Sus scrofa: one gene and its partner. The protein of the gene in region 2 interacts with the protein of the main gene of each other region in a biochemical or structural test. Links are inferred from orthologs where the notes say so. Each region holds a gene or a part of one and is shown on either strand. Other genes may lie near its edges.

Region 1 (6,422 bases), on a different chromosome or scaffold from region 2:
AGGGCTCATAGGGCATTCCAAACATGGGAAAGGGGCTGAGTAACCAACAGAAAGGTCATGGTGTGCTCGTGCCAGGACAGAGAATGGACCAGACCATTTGACCCGAGTATCTTGGAGATGTGAAATGGAAGAGTAGGTTGAAGAACAAGCAAGGAGAGTTTAGAGGGCCTTGAATACTAGGAACAGAAGTCTGAACTTTGTTTCACAATTAAAAGTTATTTTTTGAGAAAGGGGAAATATGTTCATAACCATCATCAAATGTCAAAGAAGAGTCCTAATGTTTGCAAGGTGATGCTTTAAGATAACTGGTCTCCACCTGCATATTACCCCTCTCCTCCCCCCATTTAGGGAGCATTTCCCCATCCAAATAAATCCCTTCTAAAGCAAACCCTAAACACCTCTTAAGACCTGTTTAAGTTCTAACCAATGCTTTCAACAGGCATAATTTTTTTTCTGAAAGTTCGGGCTTCATTCTATTTAGTATTTTTTTTTTTTTTCTTTTTTCTTTTTAGGGCTGCACCCACAGCATATGGATGTTCTGGGTGAGGGGTCAAATTGGAGCTACAGCTGCCAGCCTACGGCACAGCCACAGCAACAGGGATCCAAGCCACATGGGTGACCTACATGCATAGCTATGCTGGATGCTTAACCCACTGAGCAAGGCCAGGGATGGAACCCGCATCTTCATGGATTCCAGTCAGATTCTTTTTTTTTTTTGTCTTTTTGCTATTTCTTTGGGCCGCACCCGCGGCATATGGAGGTTCCCAGGCTAGGGGTCGAATCGGAGCTGTAGCCACCGGCCTACGCCAGAGCCACAGCAACATGGGATCCGAGCCGCATCTGCAACCTACACCACAGCTCACGGCAACGCCGGATCGTCAACCCACTGAGCAAGGGCAGGGACTGAACCCGAAACCTCATGGTTCCTAGTCGGATTCGTTAACCACTGCGCCACGATGGGAACTCCCCAGTCAGATTCTTAATGAGCTGAACCACAAGGGGAACTCATTTTTTTGATAAATTATTATATAAATTTATTTCCCTCAATAAGTTTGTTCATTCCTAAGAGGCAGAAACCGTGCTGAAATTGTGTATCTCTTACCAAGTCTAAGAGATATTTTCTTTAAAAAAACAAAACAAACCCCCTAAAAATAACAGTATAAGGTGTCAAGTGTATGATTTTACAACAAATGTCCTTTTTTTTTTTTTGTCTTTTTGCCTTTTTCTAGGGCCACTCCCCGCGGCATATGGAAGGTTCCCAGGCTAGAGGTCTAATTGGAACTGAAGCCACTGGCCTATGCCAGAGCCACAGTAACGCAGGATCCAAGCCGTGTCTGCGACCCACACCACAGCTCACCGCAACGCGGGATCCCCAACCCAATGGGCAAGGCCAAGGATCGAACCCGCAACCCCACGGTTCCTAGTCGGCTTCGTTAACCACTGCAGCACAATGGGAACTCCAACAAATGTCCTTATGTTGTAGTTGTTTTGTAGATATCATCTTCCTGAGGCCAGGTACCCCATAATAAACATTTTACAATGACAGGTGTTTTACAAATATTGGATTTATTTAATGAATACATACCTGAAGACTGATTCTGTTTATCGTTAATGTGCACACTGTAGCAGACAAAATAAAACGCCTATCGTCAAAACTCTAAACTTAAAGAGAGTGGAATAAAGCCACTGCAGGTTTTACAGTCTTTCTCAAAATCAAGTTTTGACATCAAGGATAAAGATGTTAAAACATATAATGAAGTCAACATTGTACTTAGAGTCAAACGATCCCGTCAGGGTCCCAAACTTTGGACAAATTACTTAACCTGTAGGGGCTCAGTTTCTTCCCAGTAAAAGAGGTAAGGTATAACCTAGCGCCTGGACTCTCGCGGGCAAATTCTGCTAGACTGGGTTCTTGCCTTTCCTCAACTGAGAAAAAAATACCCCCGCCCCCCCAGTTATATTTCTTAGAATTTTATGTTGGGTCAGCTGATACAGAAAACACAAAGAAGGGGTGACAAAACGGGGAAGGAAAGGGACAAAAAGAGCAAGCAGACTTGACCTAATCCTTTGATCAATGTCCTTTCATTTCCTAGATCTCGGGTCTTGCTCTCCGCCCAGCCCTCTTACAACACCTGTCCAGCCGGTTCACTCCACTACTCAGCTTTTCGTCTGCCCACGCGGCCCCCAGACCCTACCTTTTTCAGGCTCTTTAACTTTCTCTCACTCAGTAGAGCTTCACCTGCGGAAAGGAGAGAAGCCCACTGCTCCCGCCTTCCCCCCCTGGAGTCGGCCCCCGGCTCCCCCGCCCGCCCCTCCCGCGCCACCTCGGCGCCCCGCCCCGGAGGGGAGGGGAGGGGAGGGGAGGCGTGAGGGGGAGGGCCTGCCAGGTGAGGCGCGGTCGCCCTGGGCCACTCACTTCCGCCCAGGTGAGGGAGGGCCGACGCCGAGGCCGCCCGCTCGCCAGCTTCGGGGTCCCACCCGCGCCTCTGCCCGACCAGGTAAGGCGGGGGTGGGGGGCGGGCGCGCGCTGGGCGGCGGGGACCCTGCCCCTCGAGCCGGCCGGGGCCGCTCTCCTCGCGTCCGGAGCCGCCGCCTCTGCCCCGGCGCGCGCTCCTCCCGCCCTCCGGGAGGAGTGGGCACTGAGGACCGAGGGCGCCGCTGGGCGACCAGTCGGTCCCGCCGAGGGTGCGGGACGCCGTCCTTCTGCGTCTGGCCTGGTGACCCCACCGTGGGACCCGCCCCCTGGGTGCAGGGCTCGCCGGAGGCCGCGGAGCCATCCGGCTCCAGCAGGCCCTACCGGCCCTCCAATCTCGGCCTGAGTCTGTACCGGGAGTGGCCGGGATCAAATTTTGCACCCGGATCTGTGCCTGTGCTTCGCCCCCCGAGCTGGGTGGAGTCTTTCCCCACCTGGTGATGGTGAAAGGAGTGAACAGGTGGTGGCCTGCTCGGGGTCCCGGAGGAGGGGGTGCCCAGTCCCCAGATGAGGGGAGGCTTGGCCCCGGCCGCATCTGGGCGCCTGGTGGTCATTTAGAGGAGTTCCCAGAACGGCGGTCAGGCCTGGGCTTTGCTTATCCCACTTTATAGGTGGGGAGGACCAGGCAGAAAGTGCTCTGGCTCCAGCCTTTGGGGAAATTGCTGGGTTCCTGCTTTAAGTCAAGCTCAGGAAAGCATTTTCAAATCCTTCCCCCTTCCTCCAAAGCGTCGCAGCCCTTCTGGAGGCCGAATTACTCTCCCCCTGGAGTGCTCTCTTGGTAGTTTGTCATATCTCCAGATGGCTCTTATCACTTTGGATTGGAAGTAGTTGTTTACTGGTTTGCGCGATTGAGAGGGTGGCCTTTAAGGGCCTTACTTCTCTAGGCTGCTTTTCAGCTGTGTTCAGAATCTGGCCATTGGTAGGTGCGCAGTAAACCAGTGTTCTTTCTTTCTTTTTTTTTTTTTTTTTTTTTTTTTTTGCTATTTCTTGGGCCGCTTCCGCGGCATATGGAGATTCCCAGGCTAGGGGTCTAATCGGAGACCCGTAGCCACCAGTCAACGCCAGAGCCACAGCAACGCGGGATCCGAGCAGTGTCTGCAACCTACACCACAGCTCACGGCAACGCCGGATCGTTAACCCACTGAGCAAAAGCAGGGACCGAACCCGACTACCATGGTTCCTAGTCGGATTCGTCAACCACTGCGCCACGACGGGAACTCCAAACCAGTGTTTCCTAAGTGAATGAAGACCTAAGGAGAACCAAGACCTTCTGAAGACCTAAGAGGAAAAGAAATGTTACACTGAAGATGGTAATACCACTTCTAGGCCGTCTAAACTCCTATAGGTTGTCTGTCAATTTATTTGCCCACAACTTTTTAAAAGAAAAGCTAGGGAGGAGTAGAGGTAAAAATCTCAAGTTGGTTCGTTTTGCAGCGTCAGCAAAGGTGACTATTAGCTAAAATGAGCTTGAGTTTCCAGACGCCTAATGACATTTTAAGGATTGTTAAAAAATTCAAATAATTAGAATGTTTAATAACGGAGCTTAGGAGTTCCCGCTCTGGCACAGTGGGCTCTCCAGTGTCTTGAGAGCGCTGGGACACAGGTTAAATCCCCGATCCCCTGCCGGCACAAGCGGGTTAGGGATCTGGTGTTGCAGGAGCTGCTGCTTAGGTTGCAACTGCAGCTTGGATCTGACCCCTAGCTTGGGAACTCCGTATGTCGCAGGGTGGCCAAAAAAGAAAAGGAAATACAAAACATAAAAGAGCTGGAAGGTAATTTACTGATAGAATTTACAAACCGAATTCTGAAGAGGTTTGCTTTTGCTAATTGAGATCCTGCATCGGTTACATAACATGAACTTGGTATCAGAATGATATTTGTGTTTAAAGCTGTAAATAAATTGTGTTAAGGCCCCATTTGTGTTTAATGATGCTAAATAAATTCAAGTAATAATATTTTTATAACTATAAATCTGACATATTCATTGTGGGAAAATTGGGGAGAATTTTCAAAAAAGAAACTAACAGCACACAGAAACCCACCTACCATTGAAAATAACCACTAATAAAATTATAGTATGTCTTTCAGTTAGTATTCTTAAAAAAGAAAAATCTTTGTATTTTCTCATGGTGAGTTCACTTTTAGAACCTTATGATTCTGAGACAGTGGTTCAGCATTCACTAATTCTTGCAGTTGCATTTTTATTTAAATGCAATTAATAATTATCCTTAAACTAAACAACCAAGCAGTCTGAATTTCCTTGCTTTGTTAAACTTTAACAAAAATGCATTAGGTTGGGGAAGCTGAAGTGGGATTTACTAAGTTTTAAGATTTTGCTCACCTTGGTAGTAAACTGAGAAACAGGACTATTCCACCTTAATATTTGAGATCGTTTGGCCATTACTTTTCCCCCTGTATTCAGATATTTTTGCAGATTTGGATGCTCTTTTTAAAGCACTTGTTCTAGGTTCTGGTGCAAATGGAGAGAAATTTAGAGCCTGTCAGTACCCTTCGTAGTTGTGGGATAGATCTAGGCTGAAGATGGAGAGCCTGCTTGCTTATTTATTATTGGCCATGCTCTTGGCAAGTGGAAGTTTCTGGGCCAGGGATCGAACCCATGCCAGTGACCCAGGTTGTTGTAGTGACCATGCCGGATTTTTAACCAGCTGCACCACAGGGGAACTCCCGTCTGCTTACTTTTTGCATTTGTGCAACCATGTAGCCTGTGGAGTTTGGAGACAAGGAATTTGGTCCACCTACCACATAACTCTTGGCAAGTTACTTGACTCTGGTCCATTTGTAAATGATCTACCTCATTGAGTTTGGGAAAGGTGAAGTGAAAGAAATAATGTTCAAGAATGTGCCTTGTAGGAGTTCACGTGGTGGTGCAGTGGAAACGAATCCGACTAGGAACCATGAGGTTGTGGGTTCGATCCCTGGCCTCATTCAGTAGGTCAAGGATCCAACGTTGCCATGAGCTATGGTGTAGGTCACAGATGTGGCTCGGATCTGGAGTGGCTGTGGTGTAGGTTGGCAGCTGTAACTCCAATTAGACCCCTAGTCTGGGAATATCCATGAGTGCTGCCCTAAAAACCAAAAAAAAAAAAAAAAAAAAAGTGCCTTGTAAACTGTAAGCCATTCTCTTCCCATTTTTTGCTCCTTCAGTGAGATGTTTAATTCTGATAAAATTAAGGAGTTATCTGCTGAAAAAGTCTTGAATGATTGACTGGCCCTCCTCCCAAGGTGGAATTAATTTCATTCAGTAGTAGCAGCTATGCTGTCTTCCTGTTATTATCTTTTTCCAAGTGCTTTCCCCTTTCTTTCTTTCTTTTTTTTTGAAGTTTAAGAAATTTTCTGCATTTGCAAAGTAGAGATAATACATTGTTAAGAAGATAAATGAGATGTGATACAGAATGGTCCTGCAGTGTACACAGTAGGCACCAAAAAACTAGTTACTTGATTTGTGACAGATAACACAGATTTTGGGAAAAGGCCAGGAGAATGGGGAACATTGGTGGGAGGAGTGTCTAAAGCATGGTTTGGCCTGTTTTACAGTTTGTTAGGATTGTTTTGAATATGACAAGTATTGGCATGACTACATTTCTGGAGAGAAGTTAGGGGCACAGGTCTGCCATGTAGGGAGGATTGAACAGGAGACTGAGGTGGAAACTAGTCATTAGTGAGGAGTATGAATGCCTGGTTCATTTCAGTGAGTGACTGGCTACACATCAGAGCTCTTTTTTTTAAATTTAAATTTTATTTTTTTGCTTTTTAGGGCTGCACTGGCGGCATATGGAATGCTTTATCTTTCATAGTCCTTTCAACCCAACTAGTATCCATGAGGACATGGGTTCGATCCCTGGCCTTGCTCAGAGGGTTAAGGATCTGGCATTGCCGTGAGCTGTGGTGTAGGTTGAAACACAGCAGGGATCCTGCGTTGCTGTGCCTG
Region 2 (5,627 bases):
ATCTGTTGTATTCAACTGTGCTCCTGCTGACAGTCTCATTTCTCATGTGAACAAATATGACCAGAAAGACCAACATATGCCTGGTGGTTCCTGCCATATAATTGGATGTCTTCACTTGTACCAGGAATCTTTTTTTTTTTTTAATGATTTTTATTTTTTTTCCATCATAACTGATTTACAGTGTTGGAATTTTTAGAAATTTTCTTTGCCTACTGCATATGGCTTATATTTATATCTTAGCTTTTAAATCATGAGACCTCTGCTTGGTTTCTGACATTGTTGGTAGGCTCCTAGGTATAGCCTGAGGTTGCCTTCTTTACACAAATGATCAGGATTCTTTAGGGACTTAGGAAGAAAGTGCTAGCGGAAGCAAGAGATTTAGCTGCTTAACAAAAGGCATATGGACAGGCAAAAAAATAATTTCAGACAAATTAGGACTTAGTTACTAAGCAGTGAACTTGTTTTGAGGACCTCTTAAATATACCTTTATATTTATCAGGAAGCCCTGTCCAAGTTCCTAGGACGCTCTCCAGATTCCACTGGAAGGCAGATATAATTCACATTTGTTTCTCCAGTTATTCTGAGGGCTGATCAAACGTCCCTCGGCACTAGTGAGGTATCCACCTATGGGCGCATCTCACTGCCTCGCTGATGTCATTGTGGGAGGCAGGTGGGGATATCCTGTGCCCTGCTACCTTCCTGAAAGTAAGCAGGATGGGAAGCACGTGGACACCACCCTTGTACGCTCACCCTATGTTACTGAAGTGACTTTCTTGGGGAAATATTTTGACATCAGTCTTCCTCTGAAAGCATCAATGCATGCAAATGCTGGTGACAGGGACTGGGGGCTGCTGCTTTCCAGTGGACTCAGTGATCACCCTTATTTATAATTAACTTCAGCACAAGCAAGATGATTTTCTAGTGAAAAAAGATGTGCAGTGTTTCCTTCTGTGCACAAATGTCCTACAGGCGACACATGGGTAAATAGGTTATTATTAAACGTTTGTCTCCAGCTGGGATAAAAAAGCTGGGCTTTTGTGAGGCTAGGCTTCTTAGCACCATGAGCTTCTTGATGACCAGGCTTATTGAATTTATAAATTTCCCTGACAGCTGATCGCCATAAAAAGAATTATAAATTTATGGGCTGGGCACTCTTATTCAAACTCATTTAGAGATGCAGATATTTTTGAAATCATCAGAAATCAAAACAAGCCATAAAACATCCATTTACTGAAGAACTATACGTAAAGGATAATAGATGGGTGTAACACAAGCAACTGAACTGAGATCATAAAGTTGCAAATGGAACTTGGGCACGACTGGGAATTACCATCCCTCAGTTTCAAAGGCTTAAGCAGGTCATTGAGACACCCCCCCCCCATCTCAGTGGAGAAATTGCACGATCCCTGCCCAATGTGGTGGCTGACAGTGCTGATCCTTGCAGTGGCCGACCTGCAGGTCACCTTCCAGGAACTGGGGCTGGCTGCCCTTTAATCACAGCACCTCTAAGAGTTGACTGTAGTGCCAGGCACGTGCACTTCTAATTACTTTGTTTTTCCAGAGAGGACTTTCTAGAGACACTGACAGTCTGATTTCTCTTTCTTCTCTCTTTCTCTCTCTCTCCCCCTCCCTCCTCTTGCCTCTCCCTTCAGTCGGCAGCACCTCTTCCTCACCAGCACTGTTAGGAATCAGAGACCCTCGCTCTGAATACGATAGGACCCAGCCACCTATGCAGTATTACAGTAGCCAAGGGGATGCCACTCATAGAGGCCTGTACCCTGGTAAGACGCCAGTTGGGTGTGTGATAGAGTATCTCGAAAAGCCGCGGGTCCCCAGGCACACGGCCAGTGGCCTGGGAGGTAACCTCTGCCTGCAATGAGATGGTCCCCCAGCAGCAAACACTGGTCCAGCCTCTCATCTTCTGCTTCAGGGGCTGTTGCCTTTTTGCTTGTTTTACTTGAAATAAGCTAAGGTGGTGGTCTGGTGACCACAAATAAAAAGAGCACTGTCTCCAAATGAGAAAGCATTTCTGGCTACGCAGCAGCGCTGGCCCTTTGTCCTGCCCCACCCTGCCCGAGCAGTCTTGCGCTGTGTGTTCCGGGGTCCCCGAACCCTGAGCTCTGTGACACCTGGCAGGGCCACATCTCCTGGACCAGCTCATAAATTCAAACCTGCGGATGGAGATCAATTCCATTTACATTCTCATGGGAAAGAGTTTGAATGAATAACAAAATATACAGTCTCCTCAGAGTGACTATTTTTTAAGAATAACAAAAGTGATGTTGTATAGCATTAATATTTTTATGTCCTATTCAGAAAGCCATGCATATTATTTAAAGAATGACAACCTGAAGGGTTACCAAGATTCATATTGTCTCCATTCTCAACTATCTTGCAAATTAGAACCACTTTAGAGGCTTCAAATAAGGCAGTGTGAGCTACCAAAAAAAAAGAAAACTCCTTTCTCAAAAAACCTATTTATTAAAAAGAAATAAATAAAAGCTGGTGGCAATTTAACAACTGCTGGGGGAGCAGTCTCAGTTGTGCTGTTGTCTTTGAAATTGTGATTTCACAGGACTGTTTACTAATCGACTATTGTTACTATGGCAATTAATAGCTCAGAAAATTGCAGATGCTACATTTCAGACATCAAGCTCTTTGCAGAGGAAATGCACAGACCAACCGAAGTGCATTGGTGCTTCAGGTCTGCAGCAGCCTGCTTTATTTTAAAGACCGCCTCCTTAGCATGCGCGCCCTTCTGTATCTTCTTTGCTTGCTTCAATAAACTAATTTGCCTCAAATATGTTTCATTTTCCTCATTAAAAAATAAAATAAAATCTCTGCTAGCCTTAACAATGCTAGAAGGGTAACCAGTGACAGCATCAGGAATCTGCCGTAGACTCCTAAAGACAGCTCTCTGATACCCAGGTTCTTTTTGTTTCAAAACATACTTAAACATGGCCTCCATGCGGCCACCCTGCTTGGAACACACCTGTGCCTGCTCCTTCCAGACCTGGGATTCTGAATCAAAGCTGTTCTAAAGGCCCGGAGCTTGTTCTGCTGTATTTCCCTCCCGCATCTGACCCAGTGCACTAGCTCAGAGCCCTGGAAAAGCCACGTTCCTCGGCTCAGGGGACAAGTCTGCTGTCAAGAGCCACCAGTTCAGTGCTCCCCACAGTGACCAGAGGTTGAGAAGGAACCCTTTGCGGATGAGCTATGCATTAGCATTGCTTTTTGGTAAAACACACAGCCTCTTTTTTTTTTTTTTTTTTTTTTTTTTTTTTGGCATATTCATCAGCCTTTACTGAATAGCCCTGGGGTAAGCAGCAGGCAGGCTTCATCCAGGGAACCCAAGCTGCTGACTGTCCGGGTCTGTGCTGGCAGCGGGGGAATCCAGGGCCTGTCAGGGAGTCCACACCACCTAATGGACCGCAGTAATGAGCACTAGTTTTAATTTCATAAAATATTTTCTTACAGGCTCCAGCAAACCTTCACCAATTTACATCAGTTCCTATTCCTCACCAGCAAGAGAACAAAATAGACGGCTACAGGTGAATTTGCAATGTCATTTTTACAGAAGGCCGATTAGCAGGGATGAACACAGTAAGGGGTCCGCGTGGGTTGACTCACCTGAGCTGGGCCGACACAGCAGGGGCCCAGGAGCTTTCCTGGGGATCTCTGCTCCTCGGAAGCTCATCCATGGTTTATGCAGATCACTTCCACAGTAGCCTCATGTCCTTGAGGAGGACTGAATTGGTACCACCATGCCCCTGACGGGCACCAACTGAGAAGTCTTACACTCCTATTCTTTGCCCAACAGTTTTCTTTTCCCTCTTTTTTTTTTTTTTTCTTTTTTTTTCTTCTTGTTACTCTCTAAGATCTCTTCCATCCTCTGGATGGGGAAAGGTTGGTAAGCACACCTCATTCTCTCATCTCATCCTTCTCTTTTTCACACGTACACCTCTTCCTCCATCTTCATGACTCCCTCCCATCCAAGCCACCATGGTTTGAATACACTTGAGGCCACAGCCAGATTTCTGGTATTCTCTGAGGTCAAAGTAGACTCAGGCCTGTGGGGATGAACCCCACCGTCCACCAGAGTGGGGACTAGTGGTGGTAACATTCAATCTCCACTTTCGGGGTCGGGGGGGCCTAAAATTCATTTTGGTCTTGCCTGATGCCATGTCCACCTAGGTCATTTGTTCTCTCCTCTTACCTTCCAGTAATACATGAGCAATTGGGGCTTCCCAAATGAACCTATATCCTGCTCTGCAGATGAGGATGCTCGTAACCTCCTTCCATTTTGTCGTCTTTGCTCTGTAAATAGAAGAACCTCTCCAGTTGTCATAATCTCTGCTGTAGTTTTTTAGTTAGGAGACGTAGCCTCAGAATCATAAGTCTAAGTTAAAAAAGCAAGTTTAGCTCTGATATGCTTATAATATTAGAAATGCACATAGTTCCAGAACATGGTATTGATATCTCTGTGATAAATTTGTTACATTTTAAGTTGGGGACTTGGGCTTGATTAAGAGGAGAGATAGGCATTCGAACCATTGCAGTTTTTCTCCAAACCTATTTGAAGAAATTCATGTGGGGTCAGCAATAAGACCAGACAAAAGGAAGTGGGGGCAGGGTGTGGATGCCCACATATTTCACCTTGCTTCCTTACAGATGGATTGTCTCTCAGCCCCAGCTTGGAGAAGTCTTTTCCTTTAGGATTTTATTTGCTCAAGTATCTCTTCTAATTATACTCCTCTCCTGCCTAGAGATTGCTTATTCCTTTAAAAGCACACTCCAGTTTCCAAAGTGTAACTGCTCTTCACCAAACTACATTTTTCTTCTAAAACAGAAGGATAGATTTGATTTTCATCTCTGAGGTAAAAGTTTTAAAAGATGGTTCAGCAATTATACAACCATCCAAAGCCCAAATATCCAGCCTTTCACTAAATTCATAATGTGCCACTGGTTCTCCTGTATCAAGGCAAAAATCAAGGGCACCCTTTCCTTGGGCATGCCCAGGACCTCCACAGCAGAACACAGAACTCTAGTGACAGAGAGGTAGCCAAGGGCTGTCTCAGCTTCTCCCAAGGCACTGACTTTTGAAGGCCATAAGATAGGACTTGAGCAAACTGCCAGCCCACCTGTAGACATAGTTTAAGACCCTTATATCCACTAGAAAACATACTGTGTGCGCCAGAAACAACTTTCAACCATAAATACACAAATACCAAATACTGCTTTAAAAATATGAAGCAGGAAGCCCATATTAATTTTTCCCTAAACATGTGCTTCCAAAAATTGCCTTGATTTATTTGCTCTTTCATTTTGTCAACAGCATCAACAGCTGTATTATAGTCAAGATGACTCCACCAGAAAGAACTTTGATGCATACAGATTGTATTTGCAGTCTCCTCATAGCTATGAAGATCCTTATTTTGATGACCGAGTTCACTTTCCAGCCTCTACTGATTATTCAACACAGTATGGACTGAAATCGACTACAAATTACATAGACTTTTATTCCACTAAACGACCTTCTTACAGAGCAGAACAGTACCCAGGGTCCCCGGACTCGTGGGTGTAGCATCGACATGCTCGGAGAGGAACTCTTTCTTTCTAACCTTGTT

What was found.
Region 1: the proteins of PKP4 (region 2) and PATJ interact in a test that uses a peptide from one of them, tested with the Homo sapiens proteins (2 studies listed by IntAct, with this or other methods). The link is inferred for Sus scrofa from reciprocal best matches to the Homo sapiens genes PKP4 and PATJ.

What each region holds. Positions count from the first base shown.
Region 1 is NC_010448.4:150,601,508-150,607,929, reverse strand, and holds the start of PATJ (inaD-like protein), read left to right. Parts: upstream 1-2,364; 5' UTR 2,365-2,498; intron 2,499-6,422.
Region 2 is NC_010457.5:65,674,546-65,680,172, forward strand, and holds part of PKP4 (plakophilin-4), read left to right. Parts: intron 1-1,652; coding exon 1,653-1,781; intron 1,782-3,477; coding exon 3,478-3,551; intron 3,552-5,335; coding exon 5,336-5,584; 3' UTR 5,585-5,627. UniProt on the Homo sapiens protein: Plays a role as a regulator of Rho activity during cytokinesis. May play a role in junctional plaques.